Rattus norvegicus: one gene and its partner. Each later gene encodes a partner of the first gene's protein in a complex. Links are inferred from orthologs where the notes say so. Each region holds a gene or a part of one and is shown on either strand. Other genes may lie near its edges.

Evidence for each region.
Region 2: the proteins of Micall1 (region 1) and Ehd1 are in contact, whole or in part, in an NMR structure (PDB 2KSP), measured with the Homo sapiens proteins. The link is inferred for Rattus norvegicus from reciprocal best matches to the Homo sapiens genes MICALL1 and EHD1. Residues at the interface, in NP_203744.1 of Homo sapiens: Lys422, Tyr424, Asn425, Pro426, Phe427, Glu428, Glu429; in NP_001269373.1 of Homo sapiens: Gly464, Ala467, Lys468, Met471, Asn478, Leu481, Gly482, Trp485, Lys486, Lys492, Asp493, Gly494.

The regions. Positions count from the first base shown.
Region 1 is NC_086025.1:112,560,192-112,563,781, reverse strand, and holds part of Micall1 (MICAL-like protein 1), read right to left. Parts: intron 1,152-3,590; coding exon 1,103-1,151; intron 779-1,102; coding exon 637-778; intron 1-636. UniProt on the Homo sapiens protein: Lipid-binding protein with higher affinity for phosphatidic acid, a lipid enriched in recycling endosome membranes. On endosome membranes, acts as a downstream effector of Rab proteins recruiting cytosolic proteins to regulate membrane tubulation.
Region 2 is NC_086019.1:213,007,714-213,011,922, reverse strand, and holds the start of Ehd1 (EH domain-containing protein 1), read right to left. Parts: upstream 2,811-4,209; 5' UTR 2,738-2,810; coding exon 2,334-2,737; intron 1-2,333. UniProt on the Homo sapiens protein: ATP- and membrane-binding protein that controls membrane reorganization/tubulation upon ATP hydrolysis. In vitro causes vesiculation of endocytic membranes. Acts in early endocytic membrane fusion and membrane trafficking of recycling endosomes.

The DNA of each region.
Region 1 (3,590 bases):
GGACACCCAGATCCTCAGCCCTGCCCCTCAGCTTTTGTGCTGGGTTCCTGACCTCTTCAATTCCCCTTCTTTGGACTCACTTCCCCTATGCAGAGGGGAGTCCCACACTGTCCCGGGACACTCAGAACCTGACCAGAACAGAAAGGAAGTCTTCCCCTCCTGGACGCACTCCTCCAGTGTCTAATTCTCAAGCTGAGGAGGCAGGCTCTGCAACAGCGCTGTGCAACAGCACAGAAGAAGAGACCAGCGTGGCAGGAAGAAAAAGCTGTGGAAAGTGTGAGGACAGGAAACGGCAGACAGGAAGTGCAGTGGGTGAGGAGAGGTGAACTCACAGATGAGCTCACCTGGGCTTAGTGCTTGTCTCCCCTATCCAGGCAAAGCAGATAGGGTTTGGTTCTGTGGCCCAGGCTGGCCTCAAACTTGAGGTGATCCCTCTGCTTCAGCCTCCCAAGGGTGGAGATTACAGGTGTGAGCAGGTTACCTAAACCATCGCTTGCTTAATGCAATAAATATGTGAACTAGGGAACCCACTGTCAGTGACTCAATGACAGGCTGTCTCCTGGCCATTTCTTTACTGTTCGGAAAAGAAGTAAACAGCTCAAGGCAGCCTCCCTGAAGGGCTGGGTCCCCTCTCACCTTGGCCAGAACTGGTGAAGTGGTTGTAGTACTGGGACACATAAGTCATGATGCTGAGACAGTCAGGGACACTCATGGAGACCATGTCATTGGGGTCCAGGAGAGCAGGGATGCCCAGTTCCTTTTCAGCCACTTCAAAGGCCTAGGGTGAAGTTAGGTGCAAAGGGGGAAACAGGAGCAGCCGCAGGGAAGAGAGGACAGAGATGGCAGTGTTAGTGAATACTTCAGACTAGTCCCAGCTCACTATAATGGGGACAGGGTGACAAAGGTATCATCCCCACGTGGTGGCCTGAAGGAGAGCTCTGCCGCTTCAGGGAAGGACATCCAGGGGAAGAGGTGAGGAAGGAGGAGAACCAGGGTCTCCTCTAGGACCTGCACCAGCCCCCTCACCAAATGCAGCGGCCCCCGAGAGACCCCTACCCTCTCCCACCACACCACAGTTGCTTCAATCTGTGTGAGGACTCACCAATCGGTTATTCTCGAAGACATTTTCCTTGGAGAGAGATTGGAAGTCACTGCAAGAGACAAGAGAACAGTCAAGAGTCATGATGGGCGTGAGGGCGGGGTCAGGAAGCAGGGGCGGGGTCAGAAAGGAGGTGGGAGCTTGACCTCAGGAACCTGTAGACTCCCTGCCCAGACTTGCAGAGCTGTCAGCTCTAAGTAGAGGAGACTGAGCCCTTGGAGGCACCCAAGCAAGGCCTGGGAAATCACTGAGAAGGGGTGGGCTCAAGCGAAGCTTCCACAGGAGGCTTTCTCAGTCAGTGGCAAAAAAAGACCAACCAAGCATGCCCATGTAGGTCTGAAGGTCACAGCAACTCATCTGACAGACATTCACCCTACTTTACAGAAGGTGCTGAGGTTCAAGAGGGGAAGCCAGCCAGCTCTGCAAGCCTGTGCCTTTGGAACGTCCTCTGAATGTCACAGACACACACGCCACACCTAGCAGAAAACCTGAAACCCCACCTAACTCCAAGAGGAATATTTCCTTTTCTGTTTTGTTTGTTTCATTAAGCTTATAGTATATATTTATTTTGTGTGTATGTGTGTGGATATATCTTCTTGTTTATTTACCTAATGTATGAGTTTTCACAGCATGCGTGTCTGTGCCTCTGTGCATGCCTGGTGCTCAAGAAGGTCAGAAGAGGGCACTGGGTTCCTTGGGACTAGAGTTACAGACACATGGGTGCTGAGAATTGAGCAAACTCTTAGGCCCCTCCACGTGGGGTTTTTAGTTTGTTTGATTGGGTTTGTTTGTTTGTTTGTTTTGAGGCAGGGTTTCCTGTGTAGCCCTCGCTGTCCTGGAACTCCCTCTGCAGACCAGGCCGGCCTCGAACTGCCTTCAGAGTGCTGGGATTAAAGGCATGTGCCGCTATGGCCCCCAGGCCTACATGTTTCTTAGTGGGGCCCAAATAGAAGTTAGAAACAGAGTAGAAAGGGACATAATCCAGACCTGGTAGTCAGCTGAGATGCTTGCTCTTGGGGACAGCTTCCTTACAGTAGATAGGCATCCCTACTTCCCTCGTAAGGGGTTTCGAAGCTTCTGAAGTGGGGCAGGTAAGCGGTGGCAAGACACATCCACAAACTGGTGTGGGAAACACGGGTGCCTGCTAGCTTCACCCATCTGTGGAAACCAGTGGGCTGGAGCATGCGCAGGTAGGACACCTGTGGGCTTGTTTGACTGTGTGACTGGCTGTGGGCAGGTCAGGAACCCTACCAGCCTCCGCTGCCCTGGAAACTCAGGGGAGCCTCAGCCCCTGCTCCCAGGCTGCAGTGAGGGCCAGCAGGATCTGAGAATGGCAAAGGTCTCCTAGATACAGCAAAGTGTGCAAGCTTTGCCACTGCTGAACCCTTTGCCTCAGTTTCCTGGTACCCAACATGGAAGGGGGGAAGGGGGTACTCCAAAACCAATGAGATCACGGTAACTTGTCTGGAAGGTTCAATCTGGTTTCCTCAGCAGTGTCCCTAGAAAGCTGGTTCACAGCTTGTCCCCATTGCTTCTGGGTGTTTAGGAAGTGATCTTGCGCATGCTTGTTGAAAGAATACAGAGCAATAACTGTTAAACTGTGGTAACTGGGACTGGGGAGGCAGCTTACTGGGGAGGTGTGTGAAGCACTTGCCACACAAACCTGAGGACCTCAGTTCAAGCCCCAGCACCATGAAAAATGCAGGCATGGTGGCACATGCTAGTAATCCGGATCCCTGATGCGGTAGACAGTCAATATAGCCAGATTAGCCAGCCTCTCGTCTCAGTATTTAAAAAAAAGGTAGAATATCATCACACTCACACACACACACACACACACACACACACACACACACACACACACAAACACGCATAAACACACACAATATTACACCTTCTTTTCCCTCAATTCCTTCCACTCCATCCCTATCCCTAAATGACAATGACATCTGGGTTTGGATAACACAGATCCTTCTTTTCAGAGAACTTCCAGAGGTTGAGAAAGTTCCCTTTGACTCTGGAGGCAACAAAAGCACAGAAATGAATGCCACATGGACTCTGATCTCACAGGGATTTAGAAAATCCTGGAGGAGAGAAGGGCCCCTCGCCAACACAGCACACACACACACACACACACACACACACACACACACACACACACACACACTCACACTGAGGCCTGGGCCAGCACCAGCAGCCTCAGAGCCCTGAACCACTTTGTCAAATGGCTTTGGCTTTCACCCAACCTCTGCTCTTACACAGATCTGCCCTTAAGTGCTGAGGGTATCATTCAGGGACTGCGAGCTTGCCTAGCACGCACATCTCTAACAAATAATGCATAAATACAGGACAGATAATTCTCTTCTCTGTGCTGTAGGAGGGACCTGGCCTCTCATGTAATGAGCATGGTCTAGGCCCCAGCCTCCCTAAGTAAATGGACAACTGGATTTGGTCTAGATGTCTGCTTGGGAGGAAACATGGCTTCACACTT
Region 2 (4,209 bases), on another chromosome or scaffold:
GCTCAAAGCTGGGATTCTAACAGTGGGGAGCAAGATGAATGTCTCCTGTGGCTCCACACCCCCAAATTATGATGATAAGTCTCCCCCCAGGCTGGAGACAGCATGACAAAGTAAAAGGCTATGTCCAAGTATAGCAGACTCCAGTGTTGTAAATCATTGCATGCTGGATCTCAATTCCCCTTGCCTAGGAAGAAATTCTCTACTCAATGGAGAGAGAGCGACAGAAAAACAGAGTGGAAGTGGAGCTGGTTCTGAGAAGTAACAGACATAACCGGTCCCATAAAGGAGCATCTGAAAGTCCATGAGAACCCACTACTCTGCAAGGTCCAGTAAGTGGACAGCAAGAAAGGCAGGAGGTTATAACAACTCCCTGGCAACAAGGATGGGGACCTCAGTCCTCAGGACCAGTGGGTGGGTCCAGTTATGCAGGCAGGGCACTCACAAACCCCTCTTGGGATTGCCTGCCTCCGTCTGTTCCTCTCACTATCTCTGAGCAGCCTTGGGGGCAGTGGGGGGGGGGGGCTAATAAATCAAGTTCATGACTCAATGGATCCCTTTAAGAGTGCCAGGAAAAGCTGTATCAGTCAGAGAAAAGCCCCCTTTGTTGTGCCTCCCTGGCCAGAGGCATATCCTGAGACAGTTCCAACCCTGGTCTTCACCAGCATTTAGAGACCCTCTGGAACTGGGATGGGGGCAAGAAGGAACCGGGTACAGAGCGTGGCCTCCACCTTGACAGTTCAGCAGGGCCTGCCTTTTGTGAGTTACTGCACTGGGGGCTATTGGGGTGGTGTGTGAGAGCTCTAGCTCCTTAAGCTCTGCATTTCCACAGGTGAAAACTGAGGAGATGCCAAGTTCCTTGCTTCCAAAGAGGTCTGCCCTCATGATGAGGCTATAACAGGAGTTGGAACAGCAAATCTTCCTGTCACTCCTGAAGCAGAGACCTAAAGCATGAATGAATTCCTTAGCCCAGCAGCCAAACTTCTCACAAGACCATCAGCACTCTGAGTCAAGGGCCTACCTACAGGGGCAGCAAAACTCAAACACCCTTAGGCAAAGGCTCCAGGCTAAGGGGACTAGAGCATTGTATTCAACCCAGGCCTGTCACGCAAGCAGCAGCATCTTAAAACAAGACAGGCTGAAATTACCTAGAAGGGACAAGAAGACATTAAAGATCAACTCCACCAAAGGAGGCAGGCCTGAGAGCAGGCTCGCTCTAGAACAAGCTGGCCCGCCCTGTACGGCTGGACAGTGTCTGCAGAGGAATGTGCTCATACAGGGCGGAGACCTGGAAAGCAGGATTCAGATTCTTTCCAAGGTTATTCCCCTAGGCTGAATGCAGATGTCGAAAGGCATGTGGAAGTCCCTCCTTGAAAGAGGGAGCAGAGAGGGCAGGGTCTGTGAGTCCTGTCATACCTAGGAGAGGAGGAGTCTGGGATGACCCAATGCCCTTAAAGAAGTGATCCTGGGCGTTAAAGCTCCACGGAAAGGCCACTGTGATTCATTCATAGCATCCTGAGAGGCTGACTCTAATTCACCTCACCCCTTTAACCGGTAAAGCTGAGACTCCAGGAGTACATCAAAGTCTATCAAATCTATAGTTGCATATGGGTCTGGTCATTTCAGGGGTCACAGTGTTACCAGCCCCTGAAGTCTCTTGAGGCAATACTGACTTAAGTTTTTTGTTTTGTTTTGTTTTGTTTTGTTTTGTTTTGTTTTGTGACAGGGTTGTCTCATACACTCCTGGCTGGCTTGGAATCCACTTAAGTGCTGCTTTTAGGAGGTGTGTTGAGACTCCTTCATCCCCTCCCTTCAAAGAGGGCTGCCCCCAAATCAGCAGACCAAAGCATATCCTCACTGCCCCTCCTACACAAAACCACTGGTCCCAGGAGATGTGAAGCAGCGAGTGACCAGCAAAAGGAACATCTAAGTCTCGGGATTTCCCATGACACTTAAAAAACAGACCCGGGTGGAAGAGGGAGGTTGATGAGAATGAGTTGGGTGCCTCCAAAATGAGGAACGAGGCAGAGAGGAGAGCAATGGCTTATCTTATCACAGTGGCCCCCAGCTCTGTGGGAAGTAGGTCTGGGATCTGCGGGAGGGTTTGAGAGTTAAATTGAAAACCTGGAAGGTTCTGGGAATGACACAAGCCAGAGGAGTGGACAATGCCTATTCCCTAACTACTCTCAGGTAGTTAGTGGGACGCAGCAAGGCCAGTGACCCTGGGAGTGATCGCTGAGGGTCCTGCGGGGCCCCTCAGAGACAAAGGCCGGCTGGGGGCAATGGCTCTGGAGGCCTTTGGTGGTCCTCGCGCTGGGGGGAGAAGGGGTGGGTACCTGTTGAGGAAGGCGTTGCCGAAGGCGTTAAGCTTGCGGAAGGGGCGCCGCGGGTCCACGACGAGCGCGTTGCCGGGCACCACGCCCTCGGTGGGGCCATGCATGACTGCGATGAAGGAGTCGGTGGTGGGCTCCGGCCCGATGCGCATCCCTGGGAAGTCCTGCTCGATCAAGTGGCGGATGAAGGTGGTCTTGCCGGTGCTGTACTGGCCGACCAGGAGCACCATGGGTTTGTTGTCGAAGTCAGCGTCCTCCAGAGCCGGCGAATGGAACTCGTGGAAGCGATAGTGCTCCTCCAGCGGCAGCAGCTTCTGCGCGTACAGCTGCCGCAGCCCCTCGGCCACCGTCTGGAAGAGCTCCGGCTCCTTCTTGCGGCGGGCATCCTTGCTCACCCAGCTGAACATGCTGCCGGAGACAGAGCTGGCTGCTACAGGACCGAGCGGCGGCTGAGCGGGACTGGAGCGCGCGGCCGAGGAGGGGCCGGCCGGCCGGCGGAGGGCAGAGGGGCAGGGGGCGGGGCGCGGCCCGCACCGCGCAGGCGCAAGGACCGGCGTACAGACCACAAGAGCGCCCTCTACTGAGGGTCGCGCGAGCCTGGCCGAGCGGCCCCTTTATAAGCCGGAGCCCGGAGTTCTGGCACGCAGGCCGCCGCCTCGGGGCAGGCGGGAGAGGCGAGGGAAGAGCCCTCCAGGCTCCGCCCCATTCGCGTGCCACGTCTTCTCCTGCTTCCCATTGGCTGATTTTAAATATCGCGAGTTCGTGGCTGTGGTGCCTTGGCAACCGCACCTGTTTTGCTCCGCCCCTCGAGGGATACCTCGTAGAAGGGTTGCAGTTGCAGGTGCCAGAGACTAGCGTCCAGATGTGCTAAGCCTGAGCACCTTGGAGCACCCGTGGGCTTCTGGATACCCCAAGTACTTCAACTGCTTCCCCCAACTGCAGGGTTTCCACCGGCTAGGAACTCCCAGAAGCATCGACAGCCTGTGCGCTGCCCCTTCCCTGCTTCTTGAACCCACACTCCTCACTCTAGTGTTTTAGCGACTCTGGAGAAGAACAGGACAGCGGGAATAGGGAAAGCCGAGGGAGTACAGGACACCGGGAAGAGGAATATTGATAAGGGAGGAGAAGTGCGCTGGATCTCCACTCAGGCTGATGGGAGAGGGACAAAGCAATGGACAACACAATTGACGTGATCTAGCGGGGAGGTCTCACCCAAGAGGTGTCAGCTGCGGAATGGGGTAAAGAAGTTGCAGCTTTCTGGTTAGATGAGTTTGGAGGAAGTGAAATCGGAAATTCCCTTTGTAAGGAAGAGGGGAAGTGTTGAGCAACAATGAAATGTTGTGGGAACTTTGGGGAAATTAAAAGCCCCAAAATTTCCGCTTTCCTTTCAGGGACACCACCAGTACCACCTCTTGTTCAGTTCTGATTCCCAACCTCCTTCCAGTTAGTAGCTGTTCCACGGGGCTTACGGACCCGCCATCATCCCTGGCCACACCTAAGTCCCCTTGGCTGGTCTGCTGGTGACAATTTTTGTGGGTGATGTCAGAGATTTGGGGACTATGATTGTTAGGTAACTAGTATCAGGTCACCCAAGTGGGAGGAGGATCTAAGGGTGCTTGGAGAAGTCTAAAAGGCACCTGAGGAGTTGGTTAACACACAGTTATGGTCGCAGATGTTTGGAAAAGTTGGAAGACTACCTGAACCCATCAATATGAGGCCAGCCTGGGCAACAGACTCTATCTTAAAAAATATTTATCGGGGCTGGAGAGATGGCTCAGAGGTTAAGAGCACTGACTGCTCTTCCAGAGGACCTGAGTTCAAATCCCAGCAACCACATGGTGGCTCACAACCATCTGTAATGAAATCTGATGCCCTCTTT